Danio rerio: one gene and its partner. The protein of the gene in region 2 purifies or fractionates together with the protein of the main gene of each other region. This does not show direct contact. Links are inferred from orthologs where the notes say so. Each region holds a gene or a part of one and is shown on either strand. Other genes may lie near its edges.

What was found. The genes of interacting proteins can lie anywhere in the genome.
Region 1: the proteins of chd3 (region 2) and cdk2ap1 purify together in Homo sapiens (affinity purification with mass spectrometry; 6 studies listed by BioGRID and IntAct, with this or other methods). This does not show direct contact. The link is inferred for Danio rerio from reciprocal best matches to the Homo sapiens genes CHD3 and CDK2AP1.

What each region holds. Positions count from the first base shown.
Region 1 is NC_133185.1:50,698,071-50,704,435, reverse strand, and holds the start of cdk2ap1 (cyclin-dependent kinase 2-associated protein 1), read right to left. Parts: upstream 3,515-6,365; 5' UTR 2,838-3,514; intron 1-2,837. Other genes in the region: sbno1 (protein strawberry notch homolog 1), read right to left, coding at 3,552-3,694. UniProt on the Homo sapiens protein: Inhibitor of cyclin-dependent kinase CDK2. Also acts as a component of the histone deacetylase NuRD complex which participates in the remodeling of chromatin.
Region 2 is NC_133182.1:20,734,039-20,739,922, forward strand, and holds part of chd3 (chromodomain-helicase-DNA-binding protein 3), read right to left. Parts: intron 5,587-5,884; coding exon 5,348-5,586; intron 4,657-5,347; coding exon 4,529-4,656; intron 4,441-4,528; coding exon 4,311-4,440; intron 4,038-4,310; coding exon 3,862-4,037; intron 261-3,861; coding exon 3-260; intron 1-2.

The DNA of each region.
Region 1 (6,365 bases), on a different chromosome or scaffold from region 2:
GTTTAGAGCGCGTATCACTCCGCTGAATGATGAGAGTTATTACAGCTACATCAGTCAGAATCACAGCAGCAGCAGCAGCAGATGTGGAGGACACGAGTGCTACAGTGTGGGAACTGCAGTCTGAGCAGAGTAATGAACATTCCACTTCACATTATTGCCTAATAACCCAATAGCTCATCATCAACTCTAGCAGTGTTTCTCAACCATGTTCCTGGAGGAGCAGCAGGTCTGCACATTAGCCAGGTCTCCTTCACCAAACACACCTGATTTAGCTCATTAGCAGACGGTGACCTGTAATGAGTCTCACACACAAAGAAGACATCCGAAACATGCAGTGCTGGTGCTCCTCCAGGAGCATGGTTGAGAAACACTGGTTTACAGCATGTCAAGATGAGAACGAGTCATTCTGAGCAGTGCTCACTGAAGTCCATCAGCGAGTATTAATAAACATGTTCAGTTAATGAGGGAAAGCTTGAGTTCTGATCATGAACACTCGTGTTAAAGAAACTACAGCAGCCGTCTCAAACTCAAACAAGCTCTGCATAGTTCATCTCCAACCACCTCCATCTCCACCACACAGCTGCTTAACAGTCTCTAGTAGTGTTGAACATCTCGATTGGTTGACCAGCTTTAGGAGTGGGGAAAACTGCAGGAATCCAGTTTAAGAGCCATGAGCTAAAGGGTCAGTTCCCCCACACATGACAATAGCGTCTTCATTTACTCACCCTTTAACTCTCACACCACCTTTATTTCTTCTGCTGAACACCAAATACGATGTTTTGAAGAACGCTGGAAAAGGGTAACCATTGACTTCTACTGTATTTGTTTCACACTATTGAAGTCAATGGTTACAGGCTTGTAACATTTTTAAAGAGACAGTACACTCAAAAATCAATATTTACTCACTTTTGACTCTGACTATTCTGTTTGAAGATGTTAAAAAAAAAAAATGTTGAAAACCGGTAACCATTGACTGCCATAATAGAAAAGCAGACACTATGGTAGTCAATGGTTACAGGTTTCCAGCATTCTTCAAAATATCATCTTCAGTGTTTGACAGAGAAGTGAAGCCTATAACAGTTTAACACACTCTCGGGTGAGTGCATTGTCAGTTATGGATGAACTGTCCCTTTAAAATTCTTCAAATACGCCAGAATTGTTTTTTCACCCTCTAAATATGAAATACGTGATTTATAGACGCATAAACTCCTCCACGTGACGACATCGTGTCTTACAACTTTTTACCTTGCCACAGCCGCATCAGTGTCTGGATGGAAAAGGTTTCAGTAATTTAGGGCGGGGCTAGAAATAATTTAAAGTTGAACTGTCTGTGTTCAAGGAAAAGCTATGAGTAATTTAGGGCGGGGCAATCATTAATTTAGGGTGGAGCTATCAGTAACTTAGGGTGAGGCTATCATTAATTTAGGGCGGAGCAATCATTAATGTAGGGTGGAGCTATCAGTAAATTAGGGTGAGGCTATCATTAATTTAGGGCGGGGCAATCATTAATTTAGGGTGGAGCTATCAGTAACTTAGGGTGAGGCCATCATTAATTTAGGGCGGAGCAATCATTAATTTAGGGACGGAGCTATCAACAATTTAGGGCGGGGCTATCATTAATTTAGAGTGGAGCTATCAGTAATTTAGGGCGGGGCTATTATTAATTTAGGGCAGGGCAATCATCAATTTAGGGTTGAGCTATCAGTAATTTAAGGCGGGACAATCATTAATTTAGGGTGGGGCTATCAGCAATTTAGCGAGGGGCTATCATTCATTTAGGGTGGGGCTATCAGTAATTAATGGTGAGGCAATCAATAATTTAGGGCGGGACAATAATTAATTTAGGGTGGGGCTATTAGTAATTCAGGGTGGAGCTATCAGTGATTTAGGTTGAGGCTATCATTAATTTAGGGCGGAGCAATCATTAATTTAGGGTGGAGCTATCAGTAATTTACGGTGGGCTATCAGTAGTTTAGGGTGGGGCTATCAGTAATTTAGGGAGGGGCTATCAGTAATTTAGGGAGGGGCTATCAGTAATTTAGGGAGGGGCTATCAGTAGTTTAGGGTGGGGCTATCAGTAATTTAGGGAGGGGCTATCAGTAATTTAGGGAGGGGCTATCAGTAGTTTAGGGTGGGGCTATCAGTAATTTAGGGAGGGGCTATCAGTAATTTAGAGAGGGGCTATCAGTAATTTAGGGAGGAGCTATCAGTAATTTAGGGTGGGGCTATCAGTAATTTAGAGAGGGGCTATCAGTAATTTAGGGTGGGGCTATCAGTAATTTAGGGCGGAGCTTTCAGTAATTTAGGGTGGGGCTATCAGTAATTTAGGGCTGAGCTATCAGTAATTTAGGGTGGGGCTATCAGTAATTTAGGGCGGGGCTATCAGTAATTTAGGGAGGGGCTATCAGTAGTTTAGGGTGGGGCTATCAGTAATTTAGGGAGGGGCTATCAGTAATTTAGAGAGGGGCTATCAGTAATTTAGGGAGGGGCTATCAGTAATTTAGGGAGGGGCTATCAGTAATTTAGGGAGGGGCTATCAGTAATTTAGAGAGGGGCTATCAGTAGTTTAGAGAGGGGCTATCAGTAATTTAGGGAGGGGCTATCAGTAATTTAGGGAGGGGCTATCAGTAATTTAGGGTGGGGCTATCAGTAATTTAGGGCAGAGCTTTCAGTAATTTAGGGTGGGGCTATCAGTAATTTAGGGCAGAGCTTTCAGTAATTTAGGGTGGGGCTATCAGTGGTTTTCAGTCTTACAGATGAGACCTAAAACAAAGCTCCTGACTATCTGTGCTCATTAATAACCTCAGGGCACTTCTGGTAAAGAGTAGGGGTGTAACCTCGGTGTCCTGGCCAAACTCCCTCCATCAGCTCCATCCACTGAACTGGCTCCATCACTGTCTCTCCACTCCACCTCTAGCTGGTGTGTGGTGAAGCACTGGCGCTGTTGTCCTGCACACTGGTGGTGTTGTCGTCATGTGTATGAACTGTATAAATGCACATGATTCACTTACTCTCACTTATAACTGCAGATGAACTGCAGAATGTAAAGGTGAGCAGGCGTGCCGTCTCCTCTCCTCCACTGAGCTGAACACAACAGAGGAGCACATCACATGAACCACAGCCGTCAAATCGAGGTAATCCACAAGATTTATTGGTCAAATGCAAGAGGTAGAGGTCTTGCAGTCAGTTATATTCTCTGTACATCAGATCCGTCAGTAGTGCAACTCGTGCAGAGATGAAGGACACGCAGAGCAGAAGAACATCACATGTCAGATATACACGGAGAGAGAAGAGTCCAACATGTACAGCAGACGAGCTCCGGGAGCCGCTCCTCCACACAACAACACAAAAACAAGAACCATTAAAAAGCAAGAGTTGGAGAGGCTCCAGCCGGCCCGCCACACGCTCTCAGACGGCCAGGAGACAGAGCCACGTCCTGAAGCGGAGCTGATCCATGCAGAGCGTCTGTCCGCATGCTGGAGGAGAAGCAGACCCCGGGGGACTGTGGGAAACCCTGAGCGCAGTCGGTCTGTCCTGTGTGTGTGTGTGTGTTACGTGAGAGGTGTGTGTGTGAGGCTCTGCGGGTGCAGCTGCTGCCATAAATGTTGCTGCTGCACCGCCAGCTGCTGACTCTGATCTGATGATGACAGGATGTTGACCAGCGGAGACACACAGTTCTGCGGGATGATCAGACCTGAGGAAAACACACACACACACACACACACACACACACACACACACACACACACACACACACACACACACACACACACACACACACACACACACACACACACACACACACACACACACACACACACACACGGAGGAGGAGTGAGGCTCTGGCTGTGTCCCGAATCACACACTTCTGCACTGTATAGCATGTTAACAGCGTCTCTGCAGATATCATGATGTCAAATTTAAGACCTTTTACGATCTTTTTAAGACCATTAAGTATTAAATTTAAGACCTATATCGCAATATCAAGAACACACGACAGAAAATGTAGAAGCACAAAATTAGGGGTAAAATAAAGTTATTTAGATTGAACAGTAGTAAAGTCAGGTTAAATGCACCAGTGAACTACAGAAAAACAAACATCTAAATGCAGATTTATACTTTCACCTGGCGCCGCACAACTCACAAAACAGATTAAGACTTTTATACTCGACACGTTCACCATTGAGATATATTTTTGACAGGGGGCACTCCAAAACAACAGACAGTAAAATCAGACGAGTAAAAAGATCATCATCATCATCACTGAAGATGTTTTTGAAGGCCTCTTTTTTGTTTTAACAAACTCATCCCTCAGAGTTTTCCCAAAGTTTTACAAAAGCTTTCCTCCTTTCCCATGGCTGTTGCAGTTTCTAGCCAATAATTATTGGTCAATCTGGCAAGCAGAAGTGTAGCTGTGATAGAAAATAGGTAAAGACTTGATTATGTATTATAGCCTACTGTACTGTTCACTCTTCAAATAAATCCCACTATCAGTCCCATTTTATCACTGAAATAAAGTGCACACGTGTCTGCTGTACAGTGTTGTGTGAAGTACAGTAAAGTGCTTCAGTTACTCTGTTGTGGTAATACTACAGTTGCTATGGTAAGTGTATAATAAACTCCCCAGTGCTTAAGTTTTTTACAATATATTGTATATTATTCTACAATTCACCACACTTTACTGTAGTAAAACTGCACTGTATTTCATTTATCAGTTCACTATTCTTAACACTACAGTACGCTGAAGCATCTCTGGAAAAGCACGAGAGGAGTGCGACCGAGCGAGAGCAGATCATTCGCACGTGAGCAGCCGGTGTTTTGAGAGCTCGCGAGCAGTTTTGTCTATGAAGGAAACCGGTGCGTGAGCAGAGATTCGCTCTCTCGTATTACAGCGCTCCCGACTTATAAAACTGCACTTGCGACATTTGTCAGTGAAATAACGGCACACTCTGCCAGCCGAAATCATCACGCACACTCAAAGCGAACTACCGCAAACACAGCGATGACGTCACATTCACCGCGCGCACTGAGTTTAATAACAGAAAGCTGATTGGCTATTGCAAGCTGACTTTTTTGTAGTTGTAATACCGCAAATTACAATTGGACTAGTGAAATACAGAAGAACTACAACACCCCAAAAACCAAGCAACAATAACAAGAATTTAAATGAGCATTAGATGTAGCGGTACATGGACATCACAAAAATAAGACCAGTGCAGAAATATTTAAGACCCAGAACAGCGAATTTAACACTTTTTAAAGCCCTTAATTTCGATTTTTTAATTTAAGACTTTAACACTTTTTAAGACCCCGCGGGGACCCTGGTTTAATACAGTATCTGTGTGAGTGGTGTGTCTGAAGTCCGGGTTTAGTAGAAACACTATGCTGCATAATAAAGGACTCGCAGTGAATATACAGAGCATCCTGAGAGAACTGACAGCGCTTCACTCTCCACATGTGTATGATACAGCTTTATTACTAAACGCATTAAATTAATTGATTTCCTCAACATTCTACACACAATCCCCCATCATGACCATGTCAAGAAAGAGTTTTAGAAATTGTTGCAGATTTATTAAAAACAAAAAGCTGATAAATCAGGTGTACATCAGTGTTCACAGCCTTTGGGTGTAAAGCTCCAAGTTGAGTTTAGTCATTCTGTCTCCACTGGTCATTCCTGAGATGTCTCAGCAGCTTCATTGGAGTTCAGCTGTGCTCAATTCAGCTGATGGACATGATCTGATCAGGCTACACCTGTCTATATAAGAGCCCAGGGTTGACAGAGCATGTCAAAGCACAAACCAAGCATGAAGACAAAGGAATTGTCTGTAGACCTCCGAGACAGGATTGTCTGGAGGCACAAAGCTGGGGAAGGTGACAGAAACATTTCTGCTGCTCTGAAAGCTCCAGTGAGCACAGCGGCCTCCATCATCCGTCAGTGGAAGATGTTTAACCAGCAGGACTCTTCCTAGAGCTGGCCGGACATCTAAGCTGAGTGATCGGGGGAGAAGAGCTTCAGTCAGGGAGGTGATCAATAACCCGATGGTCACTCTGTCTGAGCTCCAGCGTTCTTCTGTGGAGAGAGGAGAACCTTACAGAAGGACAACCATCTGTGCAGCAATCCACCAATCAGGCATCTGTATGGTAGAGCGGGCAGACGGAAGACACTCCCCGCCTGGAGTTTACCATCTGCAGGACTCTCAGAGCATCAGAAACTAAACTCTCTGCTCTGATGAGACTCAAACTGAACTGTTTGGAGTGAACGCCAGGCGTTACGTGTGGAGAACAGCAGGCGGCGCTCATCAGCAGGCTAACAGCATCCCTACAGTGAAGCATGGTGGTGTTGGCATCATGCTGTGGGGATG
Region 2 (5,884 bases):
ACAGTGCAGCGTGGACAGAGCCATTCTCCATTGGGGATTTCGGGCAGTGGAGGATTCAGGCAGTGAATGTGATAAGATGACGGACAGGAGTCACAACACAACAGCTCTCCTCCGTCTTTACACACTCGACAGAACTCCATGTGGTCATCCTCCTCTTCCTCTCCACCAAGCCCTGACTCCACATCCCGCACATCGTCACACTCCTCTTCAAATTCCTCAAAGTCTTCTTCTTTTGCTTCCCACTGGATCCCTTCTTTCTCCTGAAAATACACACTGTCATTACCCAGAATCTAGAACAGCTCAATATGAAGATCCTAAACAAAGATGACCTGCTTTTTGATGACCTCCTCATATAAAAAATGTGGGGGAAGCATTATCTTTTTTAAGGCCAGTATCTTTTTTTAATTTAATGTTGGTGTTTTATTTCATCATTTAAACAGCTTAATAATGTCATATTATTTGATCTGTGATGGGTGAGGGTCCGCCATATTTGCTTTACCTGTAGAGGAGCAAGTCATGCAAGTGACTGTTTAACTAGGAGAAGAATAGGGTAAACCCAAACTTTGTGAATCTGATGTGAATAAAAGTTTTATGGTTTGCTATGGTACTTATGTGTATTAAGATGTCTAAAACCTAAAATAAACTAACACTGATAAATTGTGATTTGACTAGCGTCATGCACATCTTTTCTCTGGCTCAGTGTGAGTCCTCATGGGAAAGCAGATTTGTATTTAGCAGCTGATGTACTGACAGTTCTAAACATAGCAGTGTGATCGCAGCTCCAGAGACCAGCCAAGACTGATCACACCCGTGTGATTGTATGCATCAAAGAGTTATTTTTCTTATAATATATACTGCAAAATCACCTCTTTTCACACAGTGTCTAAAATGGTTCATTTAAAGATCTATTCTCTCTAAGGGTGCTTTCACACTTGGTCCGAATGCATGGTCTGTCAACCCCACCCCAGTTATTAAAACCAAAATATGCAAAAGTATTACAATTATATTTTTAAAAAATCAAATAAAAAAATAAAAATTTAAATTAAAAAAAATGTAAAATTCGCAAAAGGATTAAGAATGTTAAGAACATCACACATTGTCTTTATAAGTCGTTTTTAGAGGAGACAAGCAGACATCATAACGGTTTGCACTAGTTCAGTCCCGCTTGTCACCAAGGTAGGTGATACAGACATGAAAACTAAAGTTTGTTGTACAGTTGGCGGTTCACTTCTATTATTTGGTAGGATTGCATTCATATCAGAAGTGAACTGTACTAGAGTTCCCACAAACCGTACCCCAGACCACCCCTTCAGGTGGACTTGAGTACGGTTTACGGGTGCACATCTGAGTTTAGGAGACAACGTTCACACTAGCTAAACGTACCATACGCCAAACGATCACGGTTGTGGACCTAAATCGCACTTCAGCGTTTATTTGAAAGTAGGGTTGTAACAATATACCGGTATGACGGTCTACCACGATTTGAACGTGCACGATTATCATACCATGAACAATTGCATATCAACGGTTTTAACCCTTAAAGACCGAGACAGCCGCCCGCGGCTAAAAATAAGTATTGCTCTTAAATGTTTAATAACTTTTGATCCGCTGATCCGATTCATACAATTCAAAGATTGGCATAAAGAAGAGAATCTCAGCTTTCCAGTGCTGTATCACATAACATTCACGGACATTCAGAGGCTCCGGAATCAGTGCGGTTACGTCATCAAAATTTGACAACGCTGATTTGACAAAGAAACGCTCGTCACTGTGTCTCCGGACAAACCAGACATGATACATTGATGCATTGTCCCTCCTTCATGCCCAGATTGGTTCAAACTCGCTATATCACAACCAATAAGCATAGGTTTCACTTTTGTTTGTGGACCAACACTGAGCTTTTTGAACAACACGGAATGAGAGATAGGCATACATTTCTGCGCGGCTAAATAAAACGCAAAAAAAAAAAAAAAGTTTTGCATGAAATAATTCTCATACCAAGTACTTTTGCATGCACAGCAGCACAGAAACATGACAAAACAGTGACACAGCAAAGACGAACTGCTGCTCTTGCTGTTTTCAAAAGACACAAATGAAGGTGCAGCTGTTTGTCTGCATTGCATACAACCATATCCAAATCCATATCCACAGACAACCATATCCATGCTGGCACATAAAACCTAAGGATGTTCCATATTGAATCTAGTTTCGTTATGTAACTATTTATAGTATAGTAAATATTTATATCTATTTTTTACTGAGGATTTGCACCATGTTTATTTGGACTTTGACACACTATTTATTATTTTCTTATTTTTTTATTTGTTCATTGTACAAGTGGACACATTCTCTCACCTCTGCGGTCAAGATTAAGTCCTGAAAATCTCAACATGCTTACATTTCTTCATCACAACCTAGACTGAAAAAAACAACGCTTTAAATACATGTTTACAGCCATAAACTTGGTATTGCACTTTTGGTCTCCCATTTATCCTGCTTATAAGGAAGGACAGTTTAAGTTTATTTTTGTCTAATCTTAAAAGACCTTGCTTGTTTATTCCTTCTAATTTAATTTATTAAAATGGGAGATTTTTCAGTTTATTTTTATAAAAGACTTCTATAGTTCTATTAAAATGGTTCTTTCAAAAGTTTGTTGAAATAAAACCTTTGTTCAGTCAGAAAACGTGTTCTTATTCTTTTCAGGGTCTTTGCTATGAGAATTACTATTTAATACCGTATACCGCGAAACCGTCAAACCGTGGTATTGTTTTAGACGATTATCATACCGTGAAAAATTCATACCGTTACAACCCTATTTGAAAGCGCACAAGAAGATCTGCGCTTGAGCAGCATATATTTGAGGGAGCGTGCAAGAAGTTTTGTGCACAGGCAGAGGAAATCTGAGCCCAAGCAAAGCGATCTCGACTTAATACTGCACTCACAACATTTGTCATTGAAATAACACCATAGGTAGATCTGTGTAAAAAAGGCCTGCCGCCACAGCTTGAAAAAATCTTAGAGAAAACACTGAAATACCAATACTATGTTAAAATACAATTATAGGGGTTCATGCATAATTGCGCCAATCAGTCTTTGCAAGAATCATTCAACAGTCTAAACCAGCAGATCTAGAGCAGCGATGGCTATCACAAGTGGTCATGAGACACTATTTCTTGCTTGAATTTACTAAAAGTAAAGTAAAATTAGACGCATAGTTTGAATAGTTTGAGCTACAGTAACCAGAAATAATCAGAGGTTAATGTGTGCCAAAATACTTTAAATATCCCACAAAACACTGAAAACTTAAATATGACTTATTCATAAATTTGATGTCATTTAAATAAATAAATTGGATACACTGAAAAACTTACCAAAAGAGTCGACCCCCCCTGATCATCAATGTATAATTTGCACCCTGGTTATAAACCAAATGAGCATAACCATATCTACATTTCACAGCAGAGACACTTCTATACACATTAATACAAACAGCAATTATAGCATCAGTTTTACTGTTACTGTATCATTTCAAATCATTTTTAAAATGCATGCAAAGTGGATTTGATTCACAGAACAGAAAACATGTCTGTTGACACACTAAAAACCAAACTCTAATACTCAGCGACACCACAGTGTTTGGCGATGCTGTTTGTGGATAGTTGATAAGGCCTAAAGATTACTCATTTAAGTCCACAATCAGTTTTTTCTTATGGGAGAACATAACTCCAAGTTTGCTTTGATCTCTGAAGCTCCACAGACATTTTACAATGACAAACCATTATAATAACCATTACATAAAAGGTGACAGGACCACTTTGAAATCAATCTGTGACTCTGAAGGTTTGAGTGGAAGTGACTCACGCAGTGAGGGCAGCTCCACTTGCCCTCAGGTGCTTTCTCCAGCTCAGGTTCAAGGCACACCAGGTGATAAGCTCTGGGACAGGTATCACACAGAATGATCTCTCCTCCCTGCTGACACACCTCGCAGTAATCCTGATGGTCAGTCTCATAGCCATCGCCATCCTCATCGCCCAGCGCTGAGACAGAAAGATATGGAGAGAGATACAACATTAACTTTACCCCTCTGATGCATAATGTCTACTACTGTTTTAACCAATAAAATCATTTAAACCACCTAGGGTAATTATTATCTTCCTAAATTCTCTGGCAATGAACAAAAACCTCTATCACATTAATAATTTGATGTAAAAGAGAATTGTTTATTACACTTTGTGTCTGTGCACTCAAAAACCCATCTATCAGGAGTTTAGACGGACCTGCAGTGATAATAGCAACAAGCTAATTCTCACCCTTTTTCTTCTTCTTGGCAGGGCGACCCCTTTTATTCTTTTTGACCCGTCCTGAGCTGTCAGAGCGGACTGAAGAACTGTGAACGCTGGAGTTTTCCTGCTCAGAGTCGTCCTCATCCACCTCCTCACTCTGCATTTCAACCACACACACATACACGATCAAAAACACTGCACGCAACACACATTATTGTGCAAGCGGGTTATACACAGACACTCACTGAACTGCTCTTCTTCCTCTTGTTACCAATCGCTCCCAGTTTAATGCGCAGGGGAGCCATTTTCTTGGGTTTTGGCTTCTTCTTGTCGGAGACACGAGGGCTCTTACTTCGTTTCTTGTAGCCAGGGCCTGTCAATAAACAATAAATTGTCAATGTTGGTATTCTAATATAAGTATTCTGTCTAGATTAATAAAAATAATCATGCATCATTTTTAAATGCTAGAAGATATTTCAGATGTCAGAACATTTTAATAAACAAAACAAATATTTTAAAAATTGCTTAAAATTACATTATGTGTAATAGTAATTAATTGGCACTCATTCTAACGTTTTGAGATTTTGGGCTGTTATGTTTACAAATTTTGTCTTCATTTAAATTAGTGAAAATAAATGTAAAAAATGAAGGTGACTTTTTTATTTTTTAATTAATTAAAAAATGTATATATATATATATATATATATATATATATATATATATATATATATATATATATATATATATATATAGTTACAATACTTGCCTGTATGTGTTTTTTAAATTACAGTTCAAGAGCCAGAAACTTTTGACTTATATTTGAATCACCAAGTACCACAGTTTGAGCTAAAAATCCTAATTATTATTGTGAATGACCTAAATGTGTTTAATTGTACTGTAATTGTACCTTAATTGTACTGTGATCAGCTGAGGAAAGCATGATGACATTCGCTAGGTAATTTTCCCAATTAAGTTATATGCTATTCATTTCAATTCAATTCTCTAGATTCAATTGTTAACAAGCTTTGTATTTATATAAAATAGCGACTAATAAATCTGGCCACCTTTGCCCTCTTTGGTCTTGGCCTTGCGTAGTGGAGGTGGTTGAGGTGGAGGTTCGGGCGAGGCTGTTGCTGCGGAGACCTGCTCGGCAACGGCTGCAGCCGCAGCGGCAGCAGCTGCAGCGACGGCTGCTGCCGAACCCTTGAATGGATTATTGGAGCTGAACTCCCGCCATTTGGCCCCAAGAATGGTCATCATCTTGGACATGGGGATTTTAGGGTTCTTCTTAGCAATCATGGGCCTGCAGAAAACAATATGTTGACATACATCCAAAACACACAAGCAATCAATTTAATCAATTTTGGTCTGCAGATTTTAATGACACTAAATAAATGAAAAGGCCATTCCTTCAAAATGTGTTATTTTCTTAAGTTTTAAATCTTTAATTTGGCAGGACTTTTAATTCATATATATATTTAGGGATTAAACTGGGGGGTATGTTCATTCATACTTAATTTGCTTTGCTTATATATTACATTTTGTTCCTCAAATTTTTTCTGGATGTTTGCAGTATTATCTAAATTATGCAGTGATTCAAA